Canis lupus familiaris: one gene and its partners. The protein of the gene in region 2 purifies or fractionates together with the protein of the main gene of each other region. This does not show direct contact. Links are inferred from orthologs where the notes say so. Each region holds a gene or a part of one and is shown on either strand. Other genes may lie near its edges.

Region 1 (4,354 bases), on a different chromosome or scaffold from region 2:
GAATGCCTTTTCCTGCTGTCCCCACCACCTGCAGCCCTATCGCTCGAAAAACCACTTAAGTCTAGTGCACGACTTTGAAAGATTGTAATATATTCTCTGGAAAACATTCAGCAGTACGAAAGCCCTCCCTGGGCCCTCCCGCCCTCTCACGGGTCCACAACTGGTGGAACGGTCCGGAAATCCTTGAGCTCTGGAAAGGTCCCTGGTTAGTCCTTGGGAGACACAGGTGGCTCTATATTGGAAGAACCTGCTCAAGTACGGTTCTTGACGTCTGGGGAATCCTTTCGGGGAAGATTACTTCAAACTCAATAATGAGGTCCCCGCGTTTCTCGGGTGTTTTGGGGAGGGGGAGGCCTTCTCCAGGAACTTTTCGCCGCATGCCAGGCCTGATGACATCTTTAAACACGACGGGGATGCTCCTGCCGTCCAGAGTGGGTACATTCACCGTGCAGCCACACAGAGCCTTGAAGAGCAAAGAGAACGTTAGATGAAAAATAGCTTAGGATGCTCAATTCCTGCCCAGAAGCTGTTTGATAGAGGGGAAGTGCCATCAGGCCCCTGCAGCTAAGACCCTGCCCCAGATCTACCCAGGTCACTAGCTAGCATGTTAATCTCTGGAAAAACAGAACCCTGGTCAGTCTTATTTTTGCTCTTATTTTACCCTTCAAGCCTGGCTCCAAAGTGCTCAGAAAGATCTGTCAAGCAGATACCCAACAGCTTCAAAAACCAACCATCTCCCTCCATACTGTACCCTACTAATTAGTAGCCTACCTCCCGAAGGCTGATCCTGGCTGGGTAAATGACATCAGAGCCATCTCTCTTAAAGATATTGTGTGGCTTGTCCTTTAAAACAAAGACAATATCAGCTGGAATGTTGTTGGAGGTCTGGTCGCCTTCCTTAGGGAAGGTGATTTTGGTCCCTTCTTTCCACCCCCGCTTCACTTCGATGGTCAAGATCTTGTCTTCGTTGCGAATGCTCTTTCCATCGGGGTTCAGTCGCTTGTGGGAGATTTTCATCTTCTTGGTACAGCCGCTATAGATCTCTTCAAGCGAGACCCTAAGGTCGTGGGTGACGGGGGGATCTTGCTTCTTTCGGGTGGGCTCTTGAGCGGGACGGGAACGGCCAAAGTTCATGTTGGTGAAGCCACCCATGCCCATGGGGAAGCTAGAGAATGGGTCATCAATGTCCATGCCTTCCTCCCCATTCCGCTGCCCAAAAAAGGTGTCAAAGGGATTTCGGCCACCGAAGAACTCAGCAAACATGGCATGAGGGTCTCCATGGAATGTGTAGCTGAAAGAGGTACCATTAGCACCACCGCTGCTGCCACCACTGGGGCCACCACCCTTTAGGCCTGAAAGGCAAAATCAGGAGAAATGAAATGGTTGGCAGTGAGCCTCTCTCTCTCACTAAAAGAAAAAAGCTTGAGAACCATAAATGATGGGGAGGAGGGGGAGGAATTTTATTAGCCTATCAGAAGAGAGTAAGGAAAAACCCTAAGGTTTTAACCCCCCACTGCAGCAACAGAGTTGGGACTCCCCCCTCCAGGTACTTCACTGTGCCAGGGCAGTGGCAAAGGGCTCAAGTGCCCTCTCCAGGGGCCACCAAATTCCTGCCACTTCTTGACTGCCCTATCCTCCCCTCAAGGATATGAAAACTTACCAAAAATTCATTAAAAGATCAGATTAAAAAGAAACCCCCTCCAGAATCTGTGCTCAGTGTTTACTCTTAGAAATACTTGGGAGCTAAGGATGTGTGCGGAGCACAAGTGAAAGCCAAACCATAAATGCAGCTTTTCAAATTCTCACACCCTGGCACTAATTGCCACCATCCTTACATAAAAAGCCACTTCATTTCTTAAGACCCAGCCCAGAAACCAGTCTGAGTCATCCACGGGCAACTGGACAAGACAGCTTCCTTCCCTTGGCCTGAGAGGCCTGCGCCGAGGAGGCCGGGCAGAGGCGGGTCCCGCCGCTCCCTGCACCTGGACTGCGCTCGGGCGCTGGCTGCCTTCTACGTGTCTGGCACCAGGTTAGGTAAGCACTTTACGGGGATTACCTCACTCCGCCCTCACAGGGGCCCCGGAGCGAGGTCGGCGCTAATCGGCGCGCTCACCCGCAGGCTCGCCACTCGCAGGTCGTGCCGGCGCGCAGCCAGAGGCCCCCCCGGCCCCCCTGCACGCCCCGGCCTGCCACCTCCGCCCAGGTGCGCCCCGGCCCGCTAGGGCGCGGTGCTACGGGCCGGCTCAGCCTCAGTGGCCCCCTCCGTCCGCACTGCACCCCCAGCACTGCTCGGGGACGTGGGTGGAGGAGCCTAGGGAGGGGCGACCGCAGACGTGCTAGAAGCTTCTGGGCAAGCAGCGCGGCCAGGACTCCTCCTCCCATCGGACGGCCGCCAATCCGAGGGCGGAGGCCCGCGTGGCCGGAGGGCGGGGGCCGCTCGCCCACCGGGCCCGGGGCGTCCCCCGGGGCTGCCACAGCCCGGCCGCCGGGCCTCGGTTTCCCCTCCTGTCAAACGGCGGGGCGCGCCCCTGGCCGCGCGCGCACGCACCTTCTTCCCCGTAGCGGTCAAAGATCTCGCGCTTGCGCGGGTCGCTGAGCACGTCGTAGGCCTCGGCGATCTCCTTGAACTTCTCCTCGGCGCCGGGCTCCTTGTTCTTGTCCGGGTGGTAGCGTAGCGCCTGGCGGCGGTAAGCCCGCTTGATTTCCTCGTCCGACGCGCCGCGGGCTAGGCCCAGCGTCTGGTAATAGTCCTTGCCCATAGCCCCCGCCTGCGGCCCGCCGCCCAGCTGTCGCCGTACCCCGGCTTCGCCGCCGCCCCGTCCCGGACCCTATATACCCGTCCGGCGGAAGCTTCCAGAGCCCGCCAGCCCCCTCCAGAACCTTCCGCCCCGCCCCCCGCACCGCTCCGACCAATCGCCGCCGCCCAGTCCGCGACGCGCGACGTCCGGGGCGGGGCCGCGCCGCCAACGGCCGCCCGCGCGCGGCCACGCCCCTTCCCGCTCCGTCCTCGGCAACGCCTCCCCGCGGCGCGCGCACCGAGCTGCGGGGGCCCCGCCCACTTCGCGGGGAGCCAATCGCGACCTTCCTTCATTGCCCTCTCGGACCAGGCCGACGAGCCTGGGTCAACAGGTTACAACACGAGGCTCGGGAAGGGGCGGGGCTGCGTGCGGCCCCGCCCCTCAAGGCTGCCCCGCCCTTCCCCAGGTGACAGAACTGCTCGCCCACTGCTCACGGAGCACCCCCCTCCCGGGGCGATTCTGAGCAAGCTGACTAACCTTGCGGTGCCCTAGGTACCCCCACCCCGACTTCTGTAACAGGGGAATAAAAATACCTACCCACCCTCTTTTCCTGGCTGTGGGGAGAATACAATTAGGAGCCCCAGGACTGTGCCTGTCCTCACCATACGGGTTCCTACAAAGCAAGGTGAGGCCCCAGGACCAAAGCTCACCGCCCTGGTGAGATCTTCCCTCCAGGGAAAAAGGCTCCTCATGCCTTTCACTTTAGTATTCTCTTAAGAACACCTGCCACTGAAATCCAAAATTATCTTGTTCTTTGGTTTTCTTGCTAAATCCACCTCCCTCCCAGCCTGCAGTTGCCAGTATCTGGAACCCAGTCGCAGTGGACGCTTCATAAATATTCCTGTTTTTAATGCACCTGCTTTATTTTTCTCCCCACTACATTTATGATTTGGGGGGACACGGGTGTGTCATATACCTCTCAGGGCCTCTGTTTCCTCACTTGTGGGCAATATGATCCCCTTTGGCTCCAAGAGTCTGGGGTGCTTGTGGTCAAAGGGCTGATGGGGAAGGGAGGCTCAGAATGGGGTATCACCTGAGAAGGGGTAGGCAGTTGTGGTGGCTGAGGTGGAAGGTTCCTAGGAGAACTGCTTAGGAGGTCAGGGTGTGTGACACTGGCTCTGGAGCCAGCAGCAGATTTCATTCCCACTTTTAGCACTTCCTGGCTGCATGACCTTGGGCTGGTTACTGAGCCAGCTGGGGCCTCAGTTTCCTCATCTGTACAATGGGGGTAGCAGTTGTACCTGCCTTGTAAGTCAAGGTGTGCAGGACTGACCTGGCACAGAGGAAGTACTTTTAAAGGGGTGACTAACCATCTTGGTGAATAATGGGCTGCTCAGCCACCCCCTTCCTGGCAGCACCACAGCAAAAACACTTCTTGTGACTGCTGCCCTGGTATAAGCTGAGACTTCTGAGAAAGAAGATCATGGCTTTCCCCTGCCTTCCAGTTGAGTCACGCTGGCCATCCTTGGCCACTCACTGACCCCACCAAGGGTAACTGTATCAGAAAGGTCTGGTCTGGATTAGTGCACATACTGCCAACCTGGGAGGACTGGTCT
Region 2 (3,411 bases):
TATCTCCTAAGAATGCAACCATGTGAGCTTCAGGTCTGTGCCTGGACCCCTGCGCCCAGGAGCTGTGTTGTCCCACCTTGAAAGGGTCAGGGAGGCAGGATTTTGTCTCCGTCCCCATGTCCCTTAGCCTGCACTGCCAACAGGACCACGAGGGCCTGTGTAAACGTCCTCAGTCTGGGTCAGCTCAGCCTGAGCATACCCAGCCACGCTCCAGGTGTGCTTTGGACACACGTAGCTTCTGGTGGGCGGTGCTGGCCCCTACCATCAGATAACCTATGACTGAGCATTCTCAGGTCTGCTCAGCACTCAGGCTGAATAGGCTTGGGAGAGGTGGCCAGCATCCCCCAGCCATCATGCCCCAGGTGCCCACACCCCTCATGGGCCAGATGCAGAGCCTACAATCCATGTCCGTACCAACTCCGTGCTGGGGGCTCAGCTCTGGCCTACCAACTCTGGAGTGACACAAAGCAGCTGCCAGAGCAAAGTGCCAGAAAGGGTCAAAACATTTTATTCTCTTAATTTTTTTTCTTTTTTAATAAAGTTAAACAGTAAAACAAAAATTCACAAGCTGCCTCCCTGTCCACCCCCCACCCCTCTCCCCTCCCCGCAGTCTTCCGCGCTGGCTCCCTTCCTTCCCCCCACTCACACAGACACAGGGGTATCCAACTAAGAAAACGCAACTGCTCTAAGGACGGGGAGACGAGATGAAGGGAGGAGGTGAGCTGTGCCCACGTTCAAGGTTACATTGAGCAAGTCTGCACTTTCTGGGTTCCGGATGGTTTCCTTTCATTAGCCAAATTGAAAAAAGAAATTCCCTGGACCAGATGCTGTAAGGCAAAAGAAGGGCTTGTTAGTTGGCTCTGCGTGGAAAGATCACTTTGCTCGTTTTCAAGGGCTGCTTCGAACTCCAACAGAAAAACTGCCAGCCTAGGCTCTGGGGTGTCGGGAACATATGAGCACAGCTCGTGTGTAGCTTCTAACATTCACTCTTGCAGAGAAGCCCTGGCACTCGACAGCTTTGAGATGCCTTCCCGGCCATGCAGAGGTGTGGCACTAACAGTCCCAAGGTATGGTGTGCCCAGGAGCCTCCCTGCCTCCACGCTCAACAGCACCTGAGTGGATCGGTACCCTGCTAGATGGGCCTCGCTGACTTTCAAAGAGCTACTATACCTGAGGGGGGAGTCACATTATGGGCCTGTGATCTGGGGAACTCCCGAGAGTGGGAGGCATACCCACCTTCAAAACTGAAGCCCCCAGGACCGCCAAAGAATGCCTTGAAGATATTGTTTGCGTCAAAATCTATGGAGCAGAGCAAAAGACAGGGAAAGTTGGAAAAAGTTAGACATGTCTGAAGAGGAACTTATGATGTGCATCCTTTTCCAAAACCTGACTGTGGGTGGGCATATCTGCCCCCACGTTCCATACCTAACGCTGCTCGACCCCACTTGTAGGACACATTCCCTCCTTCCCAGCTCGGGCCGGAATGAAAGCTTTCTTTGCTTCAACCTCCTCTGCTGGACCTTCATCACAACTGCGATGGCATTTGCACTTATTGACATGAGACACCCCATTCTGTCTGTCTATAATGCTGGGGCTGCTACTGAAAGGGTGAAAATCTAGATACTAAACTAAATATAGGAATACTAACACTAAATATAGGAATAAGATCTAAGGTTTACAGTATTCATTTGATTCCATGCAATGTCTAGACAGTATGACAGGAAAAAAAAAAAAAAAAGCCATGGTTTATTAAGCACCTACCAGGTGCCAATCATGGTGGGTACTCTGCATACCTTACATCATCCCCAATTATACTCAATAAAACCAGACAAAGGAACTTAAGTAACTTGCTCAAGATCATGTGGCCAGTGAATGCAGCAGAAGCAAACATTCCAGCTCTGGCCGGTCTCCAGTGCTGTGGCCTAGTGATAAGGCCACAGCAGGTCTGCTGTCCCCACCTCCACCTGACTTCCTAAGCCACAGAGGATTTATCTCCACCAGTTGGTGCAACAGGCACATTGTATCCAAAATTAAATTCTTCCTTGCCTGTGTATCTGCTCATCTTGGGTCTCCTAGTTCAGTGACCAGCTCCATCAAGTCAGCCACCCAAAGCCACTCAGCTTCATCCTTCCCTTCTTCCAATATGTCAGCAACCATCTCCTGCCACGTCTCCTCCCATTGTGGCCTCCAATCCTGTCCTACCCATTTGTGCTTTCCTCCATCTCCCCCTTCACTGCACCAAACCACCTCTTCACTGCCATCATAAATATACTTCTGGAGCCAAACTCTGGTTCGGAGCTCCCCTACTTAGAACTCTTCAATAGTTTTTGACTGCTTATTTCTCCTCTCAACTGCTGGGCAGAGCAATGTTTACTACTGGTAAACCTAGGTTTTTAAAGTGCACACACACCCTGAACCAGAGAGAGGAGGACTATCTAGGATCATCAATCCTATTTTAAATTCCAATAGATTTTCTTAATGGAGGAGAAAGGCTGGCATTGGAGACTGGTCTGAGAACCACTGCATAGTTCCTATCCTCATCTCCAACGGAGCTCATGGCGAGCAGCAACACTGACAGCTAGCTATGCTTTATTTCATTTTAAGTCTTTGGGGGAAACTGAACTCTGTGAAGCCTGCCACGAATGGGTGACGAACGTAAATCTCAGTCAGCATATGCCCTGCAGTGGGCAGAAACTTCCAGTCCATAGGAAAAGGCTCCTATTCCCTATTCAAGCTGCTAAGGCCTTCTGGTGGGGGAGAGGGAGTTATCCGGCTACTCTGCCTCATATCTCACCTTCTCCTGCCTTAGGCACCCTCTATCCTCTCATACTCAGCCCCTTGCAGCTCCCTGAAGGTATTCTTTCTGCACTTCCAACCCTTCCCTTCCTAGGGCTCACCTCCTGAGTATCCACTCTGCACCCTGGGTTGGGACTCCATATCCGGGGGTCAGAAGTGGCCTGTGAGTCTGGGTGCAAAGCCCAAGACTGGGTTCTCAGAGCTCAGAGACCTGGTTGACTTACCTTTATCTCCAGCACCCATCACAGTACCTCACACATCACAGGTATTCATCCAGGGTGGGTTTTACACATCACTCTGCCTCACTGGTTGTTATACAGACTTCCCTCTGGAGTGTCTTTAGAAAAACTGTAACAATCCACAGCTGTCAGGCTCATCCTAGACTGCCCCAACCAACTCACCGCCCATATTCATGCCTTCCTCATCTAGGTCCTGTCCACTGTCATAGCGAGTCTTTTTCTTAGGATCAGAGAGGATGGTAAAAGCTTCTCCAACTTCCTTGAACTTTTTCTCCTCTTCCTTCTGAACTTCAGCACTGGCTCCACTGTGCCGATCTAAAGGGGGAGGAGTATGGGAAGAACTGAGTCCCAAGAAAACAAAATTTTAGAATCTGGC
Region 3 (4,138 bases), on a different chromosome or scaffold from region 2:
TGCGGGGCTGAGCGGGCCGCCCCCGCCTCCGGGTGATCACCACTAAGACCTCCGCAAGAAGAGACAAGACGGCAGAAACGTGCTCAAACAAGGCTAGAAGCAGCGCAAGCAAGGTGCTGCTTTCATGTAACAGGCGTGCAACAGGCAGGAAACTGCCCCAGGTGAGTGGGGGCGGAACAGGGAGGCGGCGGGGGGCTCAGGGGGCCCCCAAGGACTAACGGGTCAGAAATACCAACTCTCTGCTAATGAGAAGGCAAGTGTCAATGGCAATCTTAAGTGAAGCCTTGGTGGTGGGGGGGGCGGGGGGCAGTTCTTGCCACTTTCCCTGCTTCTCTACAGTGAGGTCAACCCCTGTGCGCCCGGCTGCATGGGCGCAGCGAGAGGCCAGGCCTCCCCTGGGCTGTTCCCTGCTGCCCACACTTCAGGTGTTGCTCACATGGAACAGTGATCCCTTCACCTGCCACAGGACCCTGGTCTGTGCTCAGGGCTGCCACCTCCTTCCCCCACTGCCACCAACTGGACCTGGGGAGCCCGCCTTCCCCAAGCCTGGCCCACTTTGCCAAGACATTATTCCTTACCCGGGTCGGACAGTAAATGAAGGTGAATCAGAACAGAACTCACACCTCAGACTCACATCCTTTCTCACCGCAAAGATAAGCTAAGAGATTTTTATTGCATTAATAATTAAGGGTATACTAATATCTCAAAATACTGAATTACTTCAGACATACAATTACAATAGTCATACAATGAATGGAGGGGGGACAGGAGCCAACACGCTGGAGTAACACATCTGTATTGTACATCAAAATCAATGGCAAACACTTCTCTAGTTACTCTTAGAAAAATACTAGACGCGTTAAAAGCTGAAAAGCTTTGCTTAAAAACAACCTATATGTACAAGATAAGCTTTGACCCTCAAAAAACAGATAAAAATTGGCAAAAACAAATGAGAAACACTGGTTAAGCGTCTCGCAGTGCTGACCTGTATCAGATACACTACACCAAGGCATCGTAGCAAAATAAAGCATTCCACTGTACTTAGTAGACTTATTCATTACATTTATTTTCATAACTGCTTCTCTATAGGGCGATGGACTTTAGTCTAATTTGGGTAAAGACTGACCTGAAAGCAAAGCTGTCTGCATGTGAGGTAAAGAAAGCAAACATTCCCAGCCAGTTTTTGCATGAACATGGATTACACCGTTTAATGCAGACCCAAGGCCAGACATTTTTTTGGGGGTAGGTTTTATTTCCATTACAGGTTCTCTTTACGTAAGATCATAAAAATACAATACAATGTCATGAGCTCAACTTAGTTACAAGCGGCAGGCAGCCCCTATTAACACAGCTCCCAACGAGGGACGAGAAAAGCTAAACCCGGTGTCACTAGGGTTCCTTATGGGAGAGTCACCCGGTGCAAGGAACTACAACAGGTTGGACAGGAAACGTCATGCCTCAGATCACTCGAGGATGATCTGATCATCTCCATGACCAAAATAACCCACAGGAGAAGTCTGCGATGGCTTGTGAGCTCCCTCCGCTCACGGGCCAGGCTCCGGGCCGAGCTCAGCTGCACGAGCCTTCTCTAGGATTGCAGAACGCCTTGTTTGAAAATGAACCATATGGGAAGGTCCCTTTTGGAAAAACAATGGATACTTTTAAAGGAAATGCTGACATTTAACTTTTAAATCTGACATTGAAAATGAAGTAGAGCCTGGGGCAGGACATGCCTGACGAGCTTGGGAGGAAAGCCTTGCCTTCCCAGTGGGGTAAACTGAGGCAGCACTTGAATATAGAAACTCCAGGATTTTAAGAGCACCCAAAGATGAGGATACTTAGCCCAAAATGAGCTGCCAGTGACCTGCACTAAGAATCTCCAGTTGCCAAGGGCTGGATGTGCACATGGGAAAGGGTCGAGGCCCAGAGACACAAATGCCCTTGGACTTCACTACCCACTGAATCGTACTAGAACATTGCTAGTAGGAAAGACACATCAAGGGCTTTTAATTATTGGGCAAAGCTGAGACAAAGTGAAAATCTCTTTAGAGCCACGCTTTTATCATCTCTCTGGTACATGGGGCTATTTCTAGCTGCCTACAGTTACCAAATCACGATCTTTGAAAGGAAATTACAGACTGCTGCGGAGTCCGAAAGACATACTCTAATAGGATTATTTTGTGAAAGGTGACAACAGAAAGTGTCATCTGTTCGTTATCATACTGGGACCAATGTGTTATCAAGGCACTTTGGAACTTTGGGAAATTCTGTTCCCATAAACTGGCAGCCATAAAACTTGGACCCTCAGAAAGCATTTACAGAAATAGATGTACCCTTTAGCAAGTGAAAAAACACTTCCTGCAGGGACAGACCTTCCTGACTCTTTCAGGTGCTAGAGAAACATCCGAGTGCCAATGAAGTGAGCTCAGTCCCAGAGTGCGAGGTTTTCAGATGCTAGGAGCAGCCGACCTCCCCGGGTAAGCCACGACGCTCTGGTCCCGCAGAGCTACTGGCGGTTTCTGCTCTTGGCCACTACCAAACAGCACTTGCTGTGTTTAAAAGACCCTTGAACAAGAGAGGCAGCCTGTTGCCTCCTACATTCAGACGCATTCGCTCAGGACAACCTGATAGCGGTAACTAATCTCCAGTTTTATCTTGCCAGAGGTATGGCTGTTTCTTTTTTCTTCTTTTTTTTTTTCTTTTTTTTCTTAAAAGGTCTCCTAACTTCACTAAAATGTTCCCATCCTTACTGATGACTACAGAAAATTGTAAACTGAGTTTACAAACAAAAACTTGGAAGGTAATTAGCTGGTGTTTTCATCTTTCTTCAATGCAGTCTCAAAGGTTTTTTTGCTATTAATTTTCATAATTTTCTTACGTTGCACATGAAAATAAGATTTTCCCCTCTAAATGCAGAGTGTAGGGGGAAAATACAGACACCATTTTCCAAACAAAAAATCTTTATGAAAAAACAGAAAATCCGAAAACAAAAAAACCCCCACCCGATTAACTTGGGTTGGACCAATCGGGCCTTAAAAATGAAGAAAAAAACAAACAAACAAAAACCCTTCTGCTTTATTTAGCATAATAAATCATATCATTGTATTGCTTTTGTGTTTGGACCTTACTTCTACCTAACCAAAATTTCCCCTCTTCTCATAATTGTTCTAGTGCTCTGTCAGGTTGTGTGTGTGTCTAGATCCTGAAAGATCCACATTTCAATGCTGGCACAACCCATTTAAAAATGACAAAAGATGCCCGTTCCACTTTCTGATTGGAAAAAAAAAAAAAAAAGGACCAAAAAACCACACCACAACATACAGATAATGATCCAAATGGAAAAGTTAACGTGCTGTAATGACATTTGTTTTGCAACATCAAAAGCAGCAGAGATACTGTATATAATTTGCTTAAATCATAAAAACGGAGATTGAAATCTGCATGTATAAATCACATTTAGGCTCAATGAACTGAAAGCTCTCTATAAATACATAGAAGTATATATAAAGTGCAAAACAAGAAATATCAACCGTGAGATCGGTACTATTTAGTACTCCCATTCGTCGGATTTCAAGTCGAGATAGCTGAGGATGTTCTGGGCGAGCTTCACTGCCTGTTTCCTGGCAGCCTTGCACTTCTCTTCCCCTTGCGGGTCCACGGCATCCAGGGCCAGCAGCTGCTTGGTGAGCAGCTCTTCCAGCCGGATGTAGTTCTTATCAGTTCGGTTCCCATCAAATGAAAGAACTTCCCCCTGGATCTCGGACAAGTTTCCAAGGATGTTCCAGACTGCTTTATGTGACGGGTGCTCCTCACTAGCAAACGACTTCCTCTTCTCCAGGGCCTCCTTCAAGTCAATGTAAGTTATAAGGGTTTGTACCTCAATCACCGCTCTTCTCCGAGCTTCCCGGATGCAAGGGTTCTTCTCAAGACTGACCTCATCCAACTGTCCAATCAAACCCTGCAATTCTGTTTTGGAGCTCAGGTACAATTCAGCAGGATTTTGTGCTTGCAGAAGTTCATTTTTTATTTCTCTCATTCTCTTGAGGACCTTTTCTATTTTTAAAATGGAATGATTCTGTCCCAGGTCAAATGCATGTGTAGTATCTGCTTCCTCTTCCAAATCCAAATATTTCAGTAA
Region 4 (3,776 bases), on a different chromosome or scaffold from region 2:
GGAGGGGGTGGAACCCTAATGTAAAACAGAATTTCACAGCCAGACTATATTCCATCACAAGAGAACTTTCTTGATAAGGCTAACCCATTTCAAGAAAGCACATATATCTTTAAGAAAACAGAATACAAGGAATTACTAAACAAAATGTTTTCCTGGTGGGGAACAATTGGAGAGTCTTCTTTTTTGAGCTGTAGTTCATGAACATCTTTATTCAATTGCATTTTTCCTGTGTGTTTTTTTTTCTTTTAAATAATCAGATGATATTACCTTATGGAATTGGAATGTTAACCTACATGTACCTAAGGTTGCATATTATTCTTTACTCAAATGAAATGAAACCCTCCATTTTTAAGTCTTTGTGTGAAGGGGTTTTCCCCCCTTCCATAAATATGAATCCCATTGTGAATCAAAGAAAACATTGAGAACTAAAAGAAAATGTATGTTGCCATTACAAAAACAAAAACAAAACTCATAACGGGATTTGGTTGCCTAAGTAGACCTATTATATAATATAAAAAATTCCTGTGAATTGAGGTAAAAAAAATCCAAGTTAAGATAAATACTTTATAATTGAGGCATTGTTTTTCCAGGAGGCTTTTCAAATTGGAATATACTGGGCAAATACAAACACTGTGCACAAGTCAGTAGCAATTAAACTGGTCCATAATCTGACATCTCCAAAGTGGAAAGATGGAGGTAATGGTGAAGTTGTGTCATTGGATGAAGAAGGGTTTGTTGATGCTGAAATAAGGCTTGGTGCTTTCCCAGGACATCAGAAGGTAGGATCAAAGTCTGTGTGGCTCCGGGGAAATAGCATGCCATCCCCTCAAGCTGTTTAAGATGAGTCTACCCTTTTCTTTCTAGTCCCTTTTTAGTATTACATGCTCTAGACAATGTATAACAGTGAGACATGCGATTTCTTAGACCTCTCAGTTTCACAGGGTTTGTTTTTTATTTTTTTCCTTTACCAGTGATAAAAGCCATGTCACATAATTTATCCAATAACTGCTCTATTTCAGAACACTCAGAAGTCACTTGATTGATCGTATGTGGGGGAAAAATGAACTTATTCCGAAATATCCACAAATTATACTTGGCCTCCTTTTCTTAGAGCAAGAAGTAGAGTTGCTAACATTCTGAGCACCGAGTGAAAGGACAAACCTCCCATAGCAAATGTTAAGTTTCTGGAAAGGGCATCCTGAGCAGAATCGATTCTGATCTTCCCATAGAACCTAATGTTATGAGGGACTTCTATTCCTAAACAGAGAACTGATACTCGTGATGATATGAATACAGAAAACCTATTTCATCAGTTATTTAACTAAATACAAACGGTGTGTCATTTTCAGCATCAATCTTTTCTAAAGTCTATGAAAACCAATTAAGTTGAATGATATAGTAACAAATCACATTATCCTCAATGGATGGCAGCACAACATCATAGCATACCATGTTGCGGTCTCATGCTGTACTGAATAATATCTTCGCAATTTTAGCACACACACCCCCAAATCAGAAGATAGGCTACCTCATCAGAGTAGCATGATTCAGAATGACCTTTCTCTGGGGAGAAGTTAGATTTTGACAGGTATTTTGAAGAGCCTATTGCAAAAAGTTAGTGTTATTGGTGACTTTTTAAAATAAAATTTCTCTGATACAAAGACGTTGGTTTCTCTTCAGTATTCAGGGCTGTTATCCATTTCCTCAGAGTTGTCTGGGCAACACATGTTTATGTGCTGCCAGCCAAAATACTGTAACATGGGTGTAAATGGCAAAGAGCTGTAAGCGTGAATCACCCAAAGCTGAATAGTTGTAAGTTGAGAACGACCATCAAAACCTGGAAAAAATGTCATGATATACAGTCCAATACCTCCAGCACCTCACAAAGTGGCCACAACAAGTGCTGAATGAATGTGAATGAATGGACTGTTGGAAATAGTATATTTACTATTTATTACATAATAATATATATTTATATCTCATTATTCTTTGCTAGTGATTCTTTTTAATCGCAAGACCCCCTTACTCTCTTAAAAATCCTTATAGGCCTCCAAAATCCTTTTGTGTATGTGGGTTATAACTACTGACATCCATCGAACAAGAAATTAATACAAAGACTTTAGAATGCAAGAACACACATACATTATGTTAGCCATGACAGTTGTGACATCATAGGTCATATAACCTCTGGAAAACTCCACTGTACATTCATGAGACAATTAGAATGGAAAAGACAATAGCATCTTCGTATTATTATAAAAATAGTTTTGACCCTTGGACCCCCTGAAAGGATCTCAAACCCCATGCATGTGCGCATACACACACACACACACACACACACACACACACACACACATACACACACGAGTCCCAGGCCATACTTGGAGAACTGCTGTCCTGACATTCCCACTTACTAAGTGGGTATCTTTAGACAACTAATTCTCCTCTGAGCACTTGACCCTCATAAAGCTTGGTAAGGGAACCTTGTGGAGGTTAAGAGCAGTACTGTAGAGTCAGACTGCATGGTTTCTAATCCCAGCTAGCCCATCTGTCCTTATGACCGTGGGCAAGTAACTTCACTGGTTTGAGCCTCATTTCCCTCTTCTATAAAATGGGGATAATAATAGCTGCTTCGTGTGGGTTATGTGAGGATTCTGTGACTTAACATGCATAAATACTTATGACAAGCAGAGCACAAGAAACCAATTTCTGAGGGCCAACCATTGTTTTTTATCATCATCACTGGTAAAGTTCTCAAAACACCTGGTGGTCCCTACTAGACCTTAGGCAAGGTTGCTGCCGTGATGAGCATGAGGAAGATGAGGAGGAATGCCTAACTGAATTTTTTATGTTGAAAAGATGAACGGCATCTGTTTACATAGAAGAGTTTATAATTAAATATTTTGTGAGAGAATGGGTTAAATAATTTGAAAACAAGTCTCTCTCACTATGCCATAGCACCAGAAATAACTGGTTTTCTAGAATACCCTGTTGTAAATAGTAGCCCCTTTTAGGGGCTGGGACATTTTTGAGGCTGAGAGGGGCCTCCAGTAAATACTCTGGAACACAAGTTAAAATTGGTACTATCCTGGACAAACCAACAGATGAAATGAGCTTTTAAAAATAAGGAATTGTTGGGATGCCTGGGTGGCTCAATGGTTAAGCATCTGCCTTCGGCTCAGGGCATGATCCCAGAGTCCTGAGATCGAGTCCCACATCAGGTTCCCCTCAGGGAGCCTGCTTCTCCCTCTGCCTGTGTCTCTGCCTCTCTCTGTGTGTCTCTCATGAATAAATAAATAAAACCTTTAAAAATAATAAAAATAAGAAAGTGTTATATGCCTTATAACATTTTTTTGGCCTTATGATATTTTAAAAATTCTTTCCTCAATTGTCTTGCAGTTATGTCAATTCTGCATTTCCTCCATGGTACAGCAGGGTATACAAATTATTCAGATTGAAGACAAGACTATAATAATCAATAATATGCCATATCAAATATTCTATAAACCACAGTTATCTGTCTCCAAACCCCACTCTGGAAAAGAGGTAAGCAGTTCATAACATGATTGATTTGTCTGATGTTTTGATAAATTAGCGATAATTAAGATTAATTTTTTAGCCTAGAAAAGAATAATAAACTTAACACTGAATCTAGGTAAAGAGCAATTTATTTTTTATTGAACTAAAACCATGGATGTCAGGTCAGCACTTCCAAGGTAGTTAATGAGCAGAAATCCAACAAGGCAGCAAGTCCTGACACAGTGCCAGGGTCACTG
Region 5 (3,501 bases), about 22 Mb from region 2:
ATTCCTATCCCATTCTCATGCTTCCTAACATAGGGCATTTTTAAGATATTTTTTATTTTAGAGAGAGAGAGAGTGAGCATGAGTGAGGGGAGGGGCAGAGTGAGAAGAAAAGAGAGAATCCTAAGCGGACTCTGTGCTCAGCATGGAGCCCAATGTGGTGCTTGATCTCAGCCCTGAGATCATGAGCTGAAATCAAGAGTTAGATGCTTAGCTGATTGAGCCACCCAGGCGCCCCCTAACACAGGGAGGGGCCCATTTGTAAGGGCCCTTCCACATAAATCCAATATGGGAAACAGTGTGGTGATCTGAGAGGTTGAACGTTTGTCCAGCTTAGCAAGACTATTGCTTTTCCTTTTAGTCTGCATGGATTTGTGGGTTGATTTATCACTCTTTATCCTACAGGTAGTCCTGCGGCCCCAGAGTTCCTGCCAGTCTGGGCGACAGCTCGCCCTCCGCCTCTTCAGCAAAGTCCGGCCCCCTGTTGGGGGTATTTCTGTTAAGGAACACTTTGAGGTTAATATATAGTCCTTTGGGGATCCAGAAACAAAGGGCACTCAAAAGCTGTGTGTTGTTATACTATGTTAGGGGTAGGTAAACTGAGGGATGATATCTGAGCTTAATTGCTTCTTCAGCCTTTTTCCTCTTTAGGTAAATGTGGTGCCTCTCACCATCCAGCTGACACACCAGTTCTTTCATAGAATAATGGGCTTTTTCTTTCCTGGCCGAAGTGTGGAAGATGATGAGGTTGGTGATGAAGAAGATAAGTCCAAACTGGTGACTACTGGTGAGAACTTTTATGGTGGAGCTCCAGAAGACTGGGGTAGTGGCCCCAGAGATAGCTAAAGCTTCAAAAAGAGGATAGCAGCTGGTATGCTTGCATTTTCATAGGAATACCAGTGGTGAAGCCTCGGCAGCTGATTGCTACAGATGATGCAGCACCACTGGGCCCTGGGAAGGGTGTGGCACAAGGCTTAAACCGGAGTTCTGGTGTCAGAAGATCATTTCGGAAAGTACCTGAGGTACCAGACATGCCCCTGATCATGGAGAGATGGGACAGTCCTGAGGTTCTCTGTTTGGGCCAGCTGGGGATGTTTTCAGTCTTTTCCAGGGATGAAAGGAGATGGAGACATCTCCTTTCCTGAGTTTCTTCTGATGGTTTCAGGGACTCACACTCCTTTCCTGCCTCTCCTAGCACCCTGTGGATGATATTGACAAGATGAAAGAGCGAGCTGCCATGAACAACTCCTTCATCTACATAAAGATTCCACAGGTTCCTCTGTGTGTCAGCTACAAGGTCTGTTCCTCCCTAGTACTTTCTAGAACAGGGTGGGAAGGGAGCCAGATAAGATCAGAGATTAAAGTTAGTCATGGACAATCTGGTTTGTGAAGTTGGTCTATGGGTGATAATCTGCTATTCCCTCTACTGCCTTCAGGAGTCAGAACCATTACAGGATGAGGTAAGGGGAATCAGTATCTGTAAATTGCTGCTGTAGGAAAGTACTAGACTTCCGACTCAAGTACTAGCTTGAACTAAAAATGGCAGCTAATGTATCTTTTCATTCTTCTTTTCTCTGTCCTCTTCCCCTCCTTCTCTTGCAGGGTGAGAAAAACAGTGTGGATTGGGGTGACCTTAACCTGGTGCTGCCCTGTCTGGAGTACCATAACAACACATGGACATGGCTAGACTTTGCCATGGCTGTCAAGAGGGACAGCCGCAAAGCCCTAGTTGCCCAGGTATCCCGGCAGAATTCATGGCTCTTTGGTTAGCAGGGGCTGGCAAACAGATCCTGGGCTCAGGAGCATTTCATTGTAGGACATATGTAGGACAAGCAGCCTTGGGAATGGACGGGTGAATGAAGTGAGCTGCCCTCTCCATGACTTTGGTCAGATGACTAAATTAAATGTTTACTGAGTGTTTCATATATGTTAACTACTGTTGATTTTTAGGAAACTGAGGGCTGATGCAACTTCAGGTTCAGAATGGGTTCTAATTAGACTGTAAGCTTCTTAACAGCAGAGATAATTTTATAATTTGAATTGCCCCATTGTGTCTTCATGTAAGCTTAATAAATCTTTATTGATTTGGTTCACATTGATTTATTTTGCTTATCCCACTAATGCTTCCCTTCTCCTAACTTATTAGGTAATCAAAGAGAAGCTAAGGCTGAAGCCTGCAACAGGGTCTGAGGTCCGAGGAAAGCTAGAAACTAAATCAGACCTCAACATGCAGCAGCAAGAAGAGGAGGAGAAAGCCCGGCTCCTCATCGGTTTAAGTGTGGGCAACAAGAACCCTGGCAAGAAGTCCATCTTTGGCAGGCGCAAGTGATCCAGCATCCAAGAGTGGCTGCAGTACAGGATCTGACTCTGGCTCAGGCCCCAGGGACTTGTGGGGTGGGAGGCGTCTCCCTTCACCTATCAGGATTTGGGGGGGTTGGGAGACCACGGGGTACTGTGGAGAGAGGCAGTGCTTTTTTAACAGCTGGCCTGTTCCCTGCAGAATACGGTGGATAATAATGCTGAGTTCTACCTCACACTGATCAGCAGGCCAAGGGCCAGAGGCATCAAGAGAGCAAGACCCAGGGAATGGGTCCAGGATCAGGATCTGGTTCCCTTGGGGGCAACTGAAAGGGTGGGAGGGACAGTTCTGATCAAGTGTGATAAATTTTTATAGACCTATATATAAATACATAAATATATATTTCTAAGTGTAACTGCTCTCCCTCTGTGCTGGAAACTTGAGGGGAGGAGCTGATCTGTTCCTCATTTCACTGCCTTGTATGAGAGGTATTAGGGTTCTGGGGGGAAATCAGCCCCTTTTCAATCTGTGCCAAGTTCACTTGGGAAGATGGCAATAGGTGCCAGGGCTGGCCATGGGTCCCCTTGGGGTATGTCCTGGAGAATGGAAAGAAAACAAAGAGAAAAATATATTTAAAGTTGATTTTTTTTTTTTTTTTTTTTTTTGGTGTGTTAAGTGCATATGGGTTCAACCTGTGTCCGTCCCTCCCCATCAACCCAAGACATATCCTTTAGCTGTTACTCTGAGGATGGCCTCTTCCCTCCTGTGAAACTATATCATGGATACTTCCCAGCTCTGGTTTGACGCTGGCCCCCTAATAGGTCTCTGCACATTTTAGTGCTGGCTATGAGCCTATTCATAACTGGGGTGGGGGTGGGGGATAGGATTTGAGGATAAGAGTGGGGTTAGGCTGCAGCAATTTGCATCTCTAGTCATGAACAACAAGGAAGAGGCGGGGCTCATGTGTAATGTAGCATAAGGGGAGGAATTGCTTATGTAACAGACAGCAGATTTAGCAGGAGGAGAGAGGAAGCAGAGGCTTTGAATGGGAACAGTGAGCTGTCGGCAGGGGCAACATGCCCCGGTGGCTGCTTCTCATAAGGTAGGCTGTGGGGCTCTGGCAGCCTATTTAGGGGAGGTGAAGGGGTATGGGCTTAAGGCCTAGGAACTGACTGGTGCGGAGAATGTTAATGATGCCCATAGTG
Region 6 (4,255 bases), on a different chromosome or scaffold from region 2:
GTCTACTTGAGATTCTTTCTCCCTCCCTCTCCCTCCTCCTGTGCTCTTCCCACCTCCTCCCCCCCATCCGCTCACTCTCAAATAAAAATTTAATCTTAAAAAAAAAAAAAAAGAGAGAGAAAGGAATCACTTTTTTAAGAGGAAGCAAAAAATGAAAAGAGGTGGAGTCAAGAAAGAGGCTAGTGTCATGGTAAAGTATTAGAAACAAATGGAATTCCTTCAACAATATAGAATGCTGCCATACGTGATTAAAAAATCATGCCCACCATTAGGCATAAAGCATTTAGCATAATTCTGTCTTTAGTCTCATATGGAAGAAGGTCTACCACAAGTGATAAAATCAGTTGGGGAACTATATGCAAACTTTAAGTATCAAACTACAGTGTTTTATTCTACCTAAAACAATGCTTTATGAGTCATCCTTAATATGAAATTGAACTATTAGAGCAAAATTACCTATTTGTTTCTTTTACAAAGCTTCTAGGCATGATGCTAGTTTTTAACAATGTGGGGTTCTGTGACACTGCCCATGTAGTTTCAAAGGAACTTTAACGGATCATTAGTATTTTTCTTTATTTTTACTATTTTTACTACCTTTTAAAACACTTCCTTAGATCACAATTACTTTTTACAAATTTTAATTATTTTTTAAAAACTCAATTTCACTTTTTTATTTTATTTTTTAAAGATTTTATTTATGTATTCATGAGAAACACACAGAGAAAGGGAGAGGCAGAGACACAGGCAGAGGGAGAAGCAGGCTCCAAGCAGGGAACCAGACATGGGACTTGATCCGGAGGCTCCAGGATCAGGCCCTGGGCTGAAGGTGGCGCTAAACCGCTGAGCCACCTGGGCTGCCCTACATTTTTTTTTTTTTTTTTTAAAGGAAGAAACAAAGCTTACAAAAGTCTTAAAACTACTAAAGAAGTCCTTAAAATGAGCAATTAGCACATTTTAGTCTTTCCTCCTCAGCTCAAGGGTTAATTAAGCAAGTCATAATCTAATCACTGGTATAATAATCAGTTCACTTTACATTAATCAAACATTAGAATATACGAATACTCAAAACCAGAGGCCTTCTTTTAAAGATGAGTACCTGACTGCTTTTGTGTCTATCAGACACGAGATGTTCATTCAAGTTTGAGGGGAATGACTCAGCTTGAAGAAGGGAGGGGCAACGTTCCTCATTCCTTTCAGAAAAAAATCTTTTCTGATAGTGCCAAGAGAGCCCTGAAATGCTTCGGAACACATCAAAGTTCTAAACACCTGGGGAGATGTGTAAGTTACTTGTAATGTGCTGCTACACCAAAAGAAATATTATTCTTTGGGGCGACATTAAGTAGCTGAAGCCACCGATCTCTAGTTTTGTTCCACTTTCTCTGGGGAGTAAATGCATCAAGCTCAACCCAGGGGAAGCATTACTTTTTCTCTGGTTCCATATGTGTCATTCTGGGCAGAACCCTAGAAGGTGGTTTTGGACTGCGGTTTCTCTATCTGTTGTCATCCACAAAATCGTTGTGGATGGAGAATTTCTCATTTTCCGACTCTTCTCTCAGGGTAATAATAATAATCATAAATGCCTCAACTGCTGAGATATATTGTGGTTATTAATGCACTGTCCTGGCAAATAAACCCCTCTTCTTGCTTTGGTATATAAATTGAGGGAGATAGACATGCACGCGCTGCTTCTTAAAATTTTTGGCTGACGTGCTTCCTTGCTCACCCAGAACCCGATGAAAACTACGGGGGGGGGGGGGGGAGGAGGGGGGAAGAATCGGTATGGCCTCAGGGGTTTGTGGAGTCTTAGTAAGATTTTGACTTATCTACACCTGCACACCATTTACACAGTAACTTTGGTGACAAACTCTTAGAGGAAGTACGTGAAAGTTTTTTCAGACGCTGTTAAGGGAAACAATAATTTCCAAAATTTGCTGTTCGTTATTTAGAAATTGTATACAAGCCTAAGTTAAGGGGGGGAGGGGGAAGAGTAAAAAAAAAAAAAAAAACCTATCTTATGCTTTCAGGCCAATGACTAGCACTTTCGAGAAGGTGTCTTCTAAGGAAGGAGGTACACAATAAATAGCGAGAAACTAACAGAATTTCTGAATTCAGTTTGCGGGGTTAGGGGGGAAATGGAAGCCGCAGGGTCTTCCTCCACCAAGTGCCCAGCCGCCGTTCACCCCGCGGCCCCTCATCTGTCCTACTCCTCCCTCTTCTTGCTCTCAGACAGATTTCTAGATTTTTACTGTTTTTTTCTCTCTCTCTGTGTTTTGGAGCAAAGAAACTTATCAGTCACATGGGGTGGGGGGAACCCCTGAACTATCGCCTTTCCTACAGATGCGTAGTAGAAAAAGAGAAGTTAGAGACATCTGGGGGGAACCACATAGCGGCACTCAGAAAATTCTAGACCTTCAGTAGACCCGGGGTGTCACGGGGTGTCACGGTCTCTAACCTCAGAGAACGCCACCGTAACTCTTACCTTCTGTGATCCTCTCAGTTCCCCACAGCCCAGGTCTGTTCAGGAGAATGCGGCCACCCTTCCCGCGCTCACAGGCTCTCGCTTGGGTCGAACGCGCTTTCTCTGGCGCGGAGGCGGCGGCCCCCCGAGCCGGGCGGCAGCGCACGGTCCCCGCGGGGAACAAATCTCAGGCGAGCAACTTCTCCGGCCGCGGCCCGCCCGCCGCGCACGCGCCCCCCGCCCTGCCGCCCGCCCGCCCGCCCGCCCGCGCCGCTCACCTGAGCTCCAGCTGGTCCAGGCTCTCCAGCAGGCGGCTGGAGCGGTCCGCCATGGAGGAGGAGCGGCAGAAGCGCCCCTCGTTGGCTTTCGCGTTGATCTTGGCCTGAGCCATCTGAGCCTCCGAGGCGGGGGCGGCCAAGAGGTCACCGGCCTCTCGGGCGACGTTGAGTGGAGAGTCCGGCGGCCGCAGGCGTCGCCGTCACCGCGCGGGGCGCCCGCCCCCCTCTGACGCCCGCTGGGGGGCGGCCCGGGAGGACGCGCCGACACCGCCGCTGCCGCGTGGCCAAACAAGGACAAGCGCGCCGCCCGCCGGGCTGGGGGCTGCGGTGCCCGCGGGAGGGCGCTGGCCTCGGGGCCTCGAGGGTGGGCCGCCCGGGCCGAGGCCAGAGGAGACGCGCCCCGCGGCCTCCGAGGCACCTGGAGGGGCGGGCGCGGGCAGGGGGCCTCACGTGACCGCCGGATCTCTCTCTCTCTCTCTCTCCCCCTCTGTCCCGACCCTAGAACGACCGAAAGCCCAGCGGAGACCCACGGAACAGCCCCCTCCCCGCCCCCGGGAACCGGGACTCCGTGCGGCCTGAACGTAACCACCTCCCCCCCCACGGAGGTACCTGACGGTAGGCTGTGGGTAATGACCGGGGCCGGCTTCGCTCACTTTCTCCCAGCGCCCATCATTCGTGTCAGAACCCAAACCATTAAAAATCCTTTGATATGGGAAGAAAAGGATAGCACTTAAGTACAGCTCCCAGGCAGTCTGGGCTTGCCTCAGCTTGTTACCAGTCCCTTTTCTGAGGTGGAAATAATGAAAGCCTGGACACCACTACTGAGGCTTACAGGGGAAAAAAGAAAAAGCTATCCCATCTTTCTTTGACACCCAACTTATTTAAATCTCCTGTAATTTAAAAAAACGTGGCACGTTACTGGGGCATATACTATAAAGGTCAGTAAGAGCAGGACTGGGAGCACAGGTTTATGTACTTAAAAACTTGCGCTTTGCTCTCATGTCGTTATAGCTGTACGCCTTATATTGCAAGGATGAGAATGAACTGCGCGCATAAAATGATAATAACACTTTAAAGCTGAATCACAACCTTTTTATCTGAGATCAAAGCCATTTAACTACTTGAACGGAGACAGGGCCTTCAGCCTGGATCCCAGTTCCCTCTGAATTCAATCTACATACTAATAAACTATTTGTGTAAGGTATTATTTGACTTCATTAAATATATTTTGTCATTATCAGGACACAGACTTGGAATCCAAAGATATGCTGGGAATGGTTTGAAAGTCTATCATGTACTTTTAGAATTATCTTGGATTCTTTTTCTCTCTTATCCTACAGATCCAATCCCTAAGTAAATCCCCTCAGCTCTACTTTTAGAATATACTAGGATTCTTCTCCCCAGTTCCACTGCTACCACTCTGGTCCCAACCACCATCAATTTTCACCTGCATTTCTACAACACCTTCCTGTCTGGTCTTCCCGCTTCTACTCTTGCCTCTGCTGTGTGTGTTCTCAAT
Region 7 (4,286 bases), on a different chromosome or scaffold from region 2:
AAAGGAAGGCAGGGCTGCTGCCTGCAGCCTTCAGTGCTGCCTTCTCTGGGAGGTGAGAAGCTGCCCAACTCACCCCGCCTGGTGCCGAACGCATCTCTGATGTCTCCTGGTAGACCTTGGGGGCGCCATCACCCGTATTGGAGTAGGAGATGACAGTGGAGGATGAAAAGGTCTGGCAATTGCCTCCTGCTGTCATATGTTCCTGAGGAGGAAAAGGTACCACAGGACTGAATGGTCCCTCTGGAGAAGGAATCCCACACCACACTTCAGCTGCCTGTTCTTGTCCCTTTCTCACAGCACGGGGGAGCCAAGAAAATGTCAGGACTCATCAGTAACCCCCAAATTCCTTGGAGCCCAACAATAAATAAGACGGAGCCTTAATTGCACACTTCATGAGACTGCTGCTGCTGCTTCATACTCAGGCATGAGAGCAGATAAGGGAACCCAGTGCTCTCCGGGCTCCATGACTTTATCTAGCTCCAGCCCTTCCTTCACCAGCACACTCTTCCCTGTTCCTGCCTCAAAGGACTCAAGGTGTTGCCAGCTATCACCGAGAACAAGAGTACAAAAGCATATGGGGTAAGAGCCTCACCATGTTCCCAATCATGTCATTCATCATTCCAAACATGTCCATGAAGCCACCCGACTGCAGCAAAGAGATGGAAAACAGAGTCAGGAAAGCACAGTCAGAACTCAGATTATCTTTAGGTACCCGCTAGACAGACACGTGGCTACACATTCCCTTTCTCTTCTTCACATGGAGCCACTGCTCTGTCTCTTCCTCAGCGCGACCAGAACAGGGGGTGTTCCCCTTCACATCTCCCTCCCTGCGCATGCTGCCTTCCTCCTCAGTCTCTACAGCTTCTCTGATCCAATCTGCTTTCTCCCAACTGTCCTATTTCCTCCTATCTTTAGGAAGCACACCCAAGTAAATAGATTCTAACCCACAAAAGGGTTGGGCATAAAACCATAAAAACAGCAACAGCAAACTTCTAAAAGCCATCTCGGTTGGCCCTTCGACTCCATCTCCATCCTCAGAACGACAAACTTTGCTAGGCAATTACATTTTCCTAATAGGTGTGGCTCTTAGAATGGAGGAATCAGTAAGTTAGCATCTTTAACCCACAGAACTCAGCACACAACAGACCCAGAGCTTTATGAACACTATAAAAAGATTTTAGGGTTACCCATAAGGCTGTTCCAGAGAGCCACATTTGGAAATAACATCTAAGGATATAGAGTGTGTCTGAGAATGGAAGGACACGAGGACATTAGGACTCACCATTCCCAGCATCCCAAAGGGGGAGACAGCCCCAGCCTACAGGAAAACATAAAGAACAAATTAAAGACCACGTCCTATGTCACTACAGTCCCAAACCAAGTGCATGGTCTCAGCTTTTTTTTTTTTCTTCCATCCTCCTCTCAAAAGGGGATCACAAAGCCCTTTTGCCAGACCCCTTCCCCAACTCCTAAAAATGATCATTCCACTTGCTAAGTTGGCTGAAGTGCAAGAGAAATCAAGGACTTTATTAGCCACCCTCCAGCATTTCCTTGGGTGTTGGGTATGTCTCGGCATCATTACCTGCATCCTACGGCTGGCAGGCCTGGCCCCGGGCATGTTGCCATCTGTGATGCTGAGGAAGGGGCTGTATCCAAAGCCACCTGACAACATTCGGTTCATATGCTGACGGTGAATAGCAAAGGGGTCCCTGTGGAAGTGAGTATACAGTGTAGATGGCAGAAGGGACAGTCAACACCTTCCTCCCCCACAAAAAAGAAAAGTCCAAGGGAGAAGGTGGCACAGATGCCTATTTCCTCCCCTAAGCTGGAGCTGAAGCAGAGTATCCAGCTAGTTCCAACCAATGCCAGCAATGGGAACCCAGATGTCTGTCTGAACTACTTAGAGACCCGAAGTGGAGTAGGATGAGCGCTCTAGAACAGGAGGGGGAGGGAATACTCACATCAGGAACATGGGATCCTCCGGCTCCACGTCCCTCATGAAGCGGAACATCCTGATTTTAGCTCCAGGGGGCTCCACACTGTAAAGATGTGGAGGCTCAGATACTCGGAGCCAGCCAGGCTTTTGCACACCCGGCTCAGTGTAGGGACTCTGAGAACACTGTCCCTTGCAAATGCTGTAACCGACCCCCACAAACTCCAGTGAGCCCCTTCTCCAGGCGGTGTTGGACACCACCCTCAAGGGAGATTAGGGCTCTTCAAACCTCTCGAGGAGGGCTGTGGAAAATTTTTCCCAGCCTCGCAGTTTTCTGCCTCCCCCACTCAGCCAGCCTCTCCCCGAAGCCCCGGCCAGAAGCACGCCCCCTTCCCCGACGCCACTGCTTCGGATGCGAATCTCGGGGGCCGGCCCTCGCCCCAGCAATGACCCCGGCCACCTCGCCCCCTCCTCACCCCAGCCGCAGCCGGGCCTCCCCCCGGCGGGCCTCACTATCCCCACCGCTGCCCCCGGCCCCCGGCCCCCGCCTCCCCGCCCGGCGAGCAGGAGCGGCAGGCCCGGCCCCCTCCCCTCCCCGCCTCCCAGGCTCCCAGACCCGCAGCTCCGCGGGCCCGCTCCTGCCGCCGGCTGCCCGCGCCGCTCGAGCCTCACCGGTCCCCGATCCGGGCTCAGCGGCCCATCCGGCCGGTCTCGCCTCTCTGTGCGCTGCAGGCTCGGGGGTTGCGGCCCGGGACGCGGGATTGGTCCGGGCTGGCTCTCCTCGGCCTCCCGCGCCGCCTCCTCCCACGGCTGCCACCTCCGTACCCCCCCACGGCCCGCGGAGCCCGAACCGCGGCCAGGCCCGGGCGGAAGTGACGTCACGGGGGGACGGCCCGCCCCGGGGCCGGGCCCGCGGAGCTCCGCCCACCGGCGAGCGAGGGGCTGGGGCTGGGGCCGGGGCCGCTCGGGCGGCGGGGTCCTCGGGTCTAGGGGAGGGGGCCTCATCCCCAGCTGGACTCGGGCCCTGTGGCCAGGAGGAGGCGCCCCGTGGGGGTGCGGGGAAGAGCGGGGCGCCCCGCCTCGTGAGGCTCGGGGCGGGACGGGGCGGTGCGGCACGTTCCCTGCGGGGAAGGAAGAGCCCGGGGGCAGGTGCCGGGGGGAGGGGCGGCTCCCCGCGGGCGACGACGTGGGGCGGATCCTGGGGGGAATATTAAGCAGATTTTCTCCGCCGGCGGCGTTCGGCCCGGGAGGGAGGCAGGGCAGCCGCCTCGCGGGGGAGGCGCCGCGGCCAGTCCTGTCGGGGGGAGGCGAGTTCCAAGCAGGGGCGGGGCCCTCGGGCTGACGTCGCAGGGGAGGTGACCGCTCGGCCCCTGTCTGGCTCCGGCTTCCAGAACTCGGCGGGCGGGAGAGAATGCGGGGTGGGCGGGCCGGCCGCCAGGTGGCGCTCCTCGGCCGGTCTGGAACGGCGGGGCTTCGGGAGCTGCCGTTGGCCCTGCTCCCGGACCCTCGGTTCCTCCGCGCGCAGGGTCGGCCTGGGCAAAGGTTGTCGTTCTGAAATCGTTTCGTGGAATGCCGGTTTCTCCCCTTGCTTTTCTCTCACTGCTGTGTTCCCAGGAGCTCCCAGTCCCGCTCTGATCTTTCCTGCCTCTAGTCAGGTAGGTGGGTCGAGGGTCTAAAGTTTGGGAGAAGGAAGGGGTGCAGAGCTCCGTTAACCAGGATCACCCAGGGGCGGAGCTGGAATCAGACCCAGAAGGCCAGGGCCAAAGACTGAAACTTTGACATACTAAATGTCTTGCATAAAATCTGGCCCAACTGGAGAGAAGGGCCCTCCCCCAGGGTGTCAGGAGAATTTGGACGGTCTACGATGGACTTTAAACCAGACTCATCCAAACTCTAGCTCTCCCTGGTTCTTTACTCTGGCTGCTAGCCATATTAGCGCTCTGTGGAGCCCAACAATGCCAAAGACTTGTTCCCAATACTTCCCTAGGGGTGAAGGAGGACGGGGGTCCCAGGTGACTCAGGAAAAGGTACCGGGAGCAGGGCTTCTCAGGTTTCTTGGGACGCGATCATTATTAGTGAGGGAAAAACAATAGTGGAGACAGAGGGGAACAGTGATAATTTGGAAGCTGCCGGGCTGGCAAAACCAAAGAAAGATAAAGACAGGATAAAAGAAAATTTGCTTTTCGTTGATATTTCTGGGGGAAGAGACTTAGTCAAGTCTTTTAAATTTTTTCTCCAGATCCTTTATCTCTGGACATTCCACTCTGCATCTGCCCCTTTTCCTTTTGCCTCTAAGGCAGTTGACATGTGATCAGGTTTTCTCTCAGAGTTCTGTGGCCCAGACTCAACTAAG

The links.
Region 1: the proteins of DNAJC7 (region 2) and DNAJB1 purify together in Homo sapiens (affinity purification with mass spectrometry; 3 studies listed by BioGRID and IntAct, with this or other methods). This does not show direct contact. The link is inferred for Canis lupus familiaris from reciprocal best matches to the Homo sapiens genes DNAJC7 and DNAJB1.
Region 3: the proteins of DNAJC7 (region 2) and BAG5 purify together in Homo sapiens (affinity purification with mass spectrometry; 4 studies listed by BioGRID and IntAct, with this or other methods). This does not show direct contact. The link is inferred for Canis lupus familiaris from reciprocal best matches to the Homo sapiens genes DNAJC7 and BAG5.
Region 4: the proteins of DNAJC7 (region 2) and VPS13B purify together in Homo sapiens (co-immunoprecipitation; 3 studies listed by BioGRID and IntAct, counting the BioPlex papers as one, with this or other methods). This does not show direct contact. The link is inferred for Canis lupus familiaris from reciprocal best matches to the Homo sapiens genes DNAJC7 and VPS13B.
Region 5: the proteins of DNAJC7 (region 2) and KIAA0100 purify together in Homo sapiens (co-immunoprecipitation; 3 studies listed by BioGRID and IntAct, counting the BioPlex papers as one, with this or other methods). This does not show direct contact. The link is inferred for Canis lupus familiaris from reciprocal best matches to the Homo sapiens genes DNAJC7 and BLTP2.
Region 6: the proteins of DNAJC7 (region 2) and BAG2 purify together in Homo sapiens (affinity purification with mass spectrometry; 7 studies listed by BioGRID and IntAct, with this or other methods). This does not show direct contact. The link is inferred for Canis lupus familiaris from reciprocal best matches to the Homo sapiens genes DNAJC7 and BAG2.
Region 7: the proteins of DNAJC7 (region 2) and MLF2 purify together in Homo sapiens (affinity purification with mass spectrometry; 3 studies listed by BioGRID and IntAct, with this or other methods). This does not show direct contact. The link is inferred for Canis lupus familiaris from reciprocal best matches to the Homo sapiens genes DNAJC7 and MLF2.

The regions. Positions count from the first base shown.
Region 1 is NC_049241.1:48,526,052-48,530,405, reverse strand, and holds the start of DNAJB1 (dnaJ homolog subfamily B member 1), read right to left. Parts: upstream 2,852-4,354; 5' UTR 2,760-2,851; coding exon 2,549-2,759; intron 1,353-2,548; coding exon 772-1,352; intron 464-771; coding exon 233-463; 3' UTR 1-232. UniProt on the Homo sapiens protein: Interacts with HSP70 and can stimulate its ATPase activity. Stimulates the association between HSC70 and HIP. Negatively regulates heat shock-induced HSF1 transcriptional activity during the attenuation and recovery phase period of the heat shock response.
Region 2 is NC_049230.1:20,758,224-20,761,634, reverse strand, and holds the end of DNAJC7 (dnaJ homolog subfamily C member 7), read right to left. Parts: intron 3,351-3,411; coding exon 3,198-3,350; intron 1,300-3,197; coding exon 1,237-1,299; intron 828-1,236; coding exon 790-827; 3' UTR 511-789; downstream 1-510. UniProt on the Homo sapiens protein: Acts as a co-chaperone regulating the molecular chaperones HSP70 and HSP90 in folding of steroid receptors, such as the glucocorticoid receptor and the progesterone receptor.
Region 3 is NC_049229.1:71,721,663-71,725,800, forward strand, and holds the end of BAG5 (BAG family molecular chaperone regulator 5), read right to left. Parts: coding exon 3,548-4,138; 3' UTR 636-3,547; downstream 1-635. UniProt on the Homo sapiens protein: Co-chaperone for HSP/HSP70 proteins. It functions as a nucleotide-exchange factor promoting the release of ADP from HSP70, thereby activating HSP70-mediated protein refolding.
Region 4 is NC_049234.1:1,896,321-1,900,096, forward strand, and holds part of VPS13B (vacuolar protein sorting-associated protein 13B), read left to right. Parts: intron 1-590; coding exon 591-779; intron 780-3,399; coding exon 3,400-3,546; intron 3,547-3,776. UniProt on the Homo sapiens protein: Mediates the transfer of lipids between membranes at organelle contact sites. Binds phosphatidylinositol 3-phosphate. Functions as a tethering factor in the slow endocytic recycling pathway, to assist traffic between early and recycling endosomes.
Region 5 is NC_049230.1:42,788,833-42,792,333, reverse strand, and holds the end of KIAA0100 (protein KIAA0100 homolog), read left to right. Parts: exon of another isoform or gene 1-402; coding exon 403-513; exon of another isoform or gene 514-648; coding exon 649-784; exon of another isoform or gene 785-888; coding exon 889-1,019; exon of another isoform or gene 1,020-1,192; coding exon 1,193-1,294; exon of another isoform or gene 1,295-1,599; coding exon 1,600-1,734; exon of another isoform or gene 1,735-2,143; coding exon 2,144-2,326; 3' UTR 2,327-2,933; downstream 2,934-3,501. Other genes in the region: RSKR (ribosomal protein S6 kinase-related protein), read left to right, coding at 3,342-3,398. UniProt on the Homo sapiens protein: Tube-forming lipid transport protein which binds to phosphatidylinositols and affects phosphatidylinositol-4,5-bisphosphate (PtdIns-4,5-P2) distribution.
Region 6 is NC_049233.1:24,621,711-24,625,965, reverse strand, and holds the start of BAG2 (BAG family molecular chaperone regulator 2), read right to left. Parts: upstream 2,965-4,255; 5' UTR 2,850-2,964; coding exon 2,737-2,849; intron 1-2,736. UniProt on the Homo sapiens protein: Co-chaperone for HSP70 and HSC70 chaperone proteins. Acts as a nucleotide-exchange factor (NEF) promoting the release of ADP from the HSP70 and HSC70 proteins thereby triggering client/substrate protein release.
Region 7 is NC_049248.1:7,808,603-7,812,888, forward strand, and holds the start of MLF2 (myeloid leukemia factor 2), read right to left. Parts: upstream 2,811-4,286; 5' UTR 2,606-2,810; intron 2,040-2,605; 5' UTR 2,012-2,039; coding exon 1,962-2,011; intron 1,710-1,961; coding exon 1,583-1,709; intron 1,373-1,582; exon of another isoform or gene 1,319-1,372; coding exon 1,283-1,318; exon of another isoform or gene 647-1,282; coding exon 593-646; exon of another isoform or gene 203-592; coding exon 74-202; exon of another isoform or gene 1-73.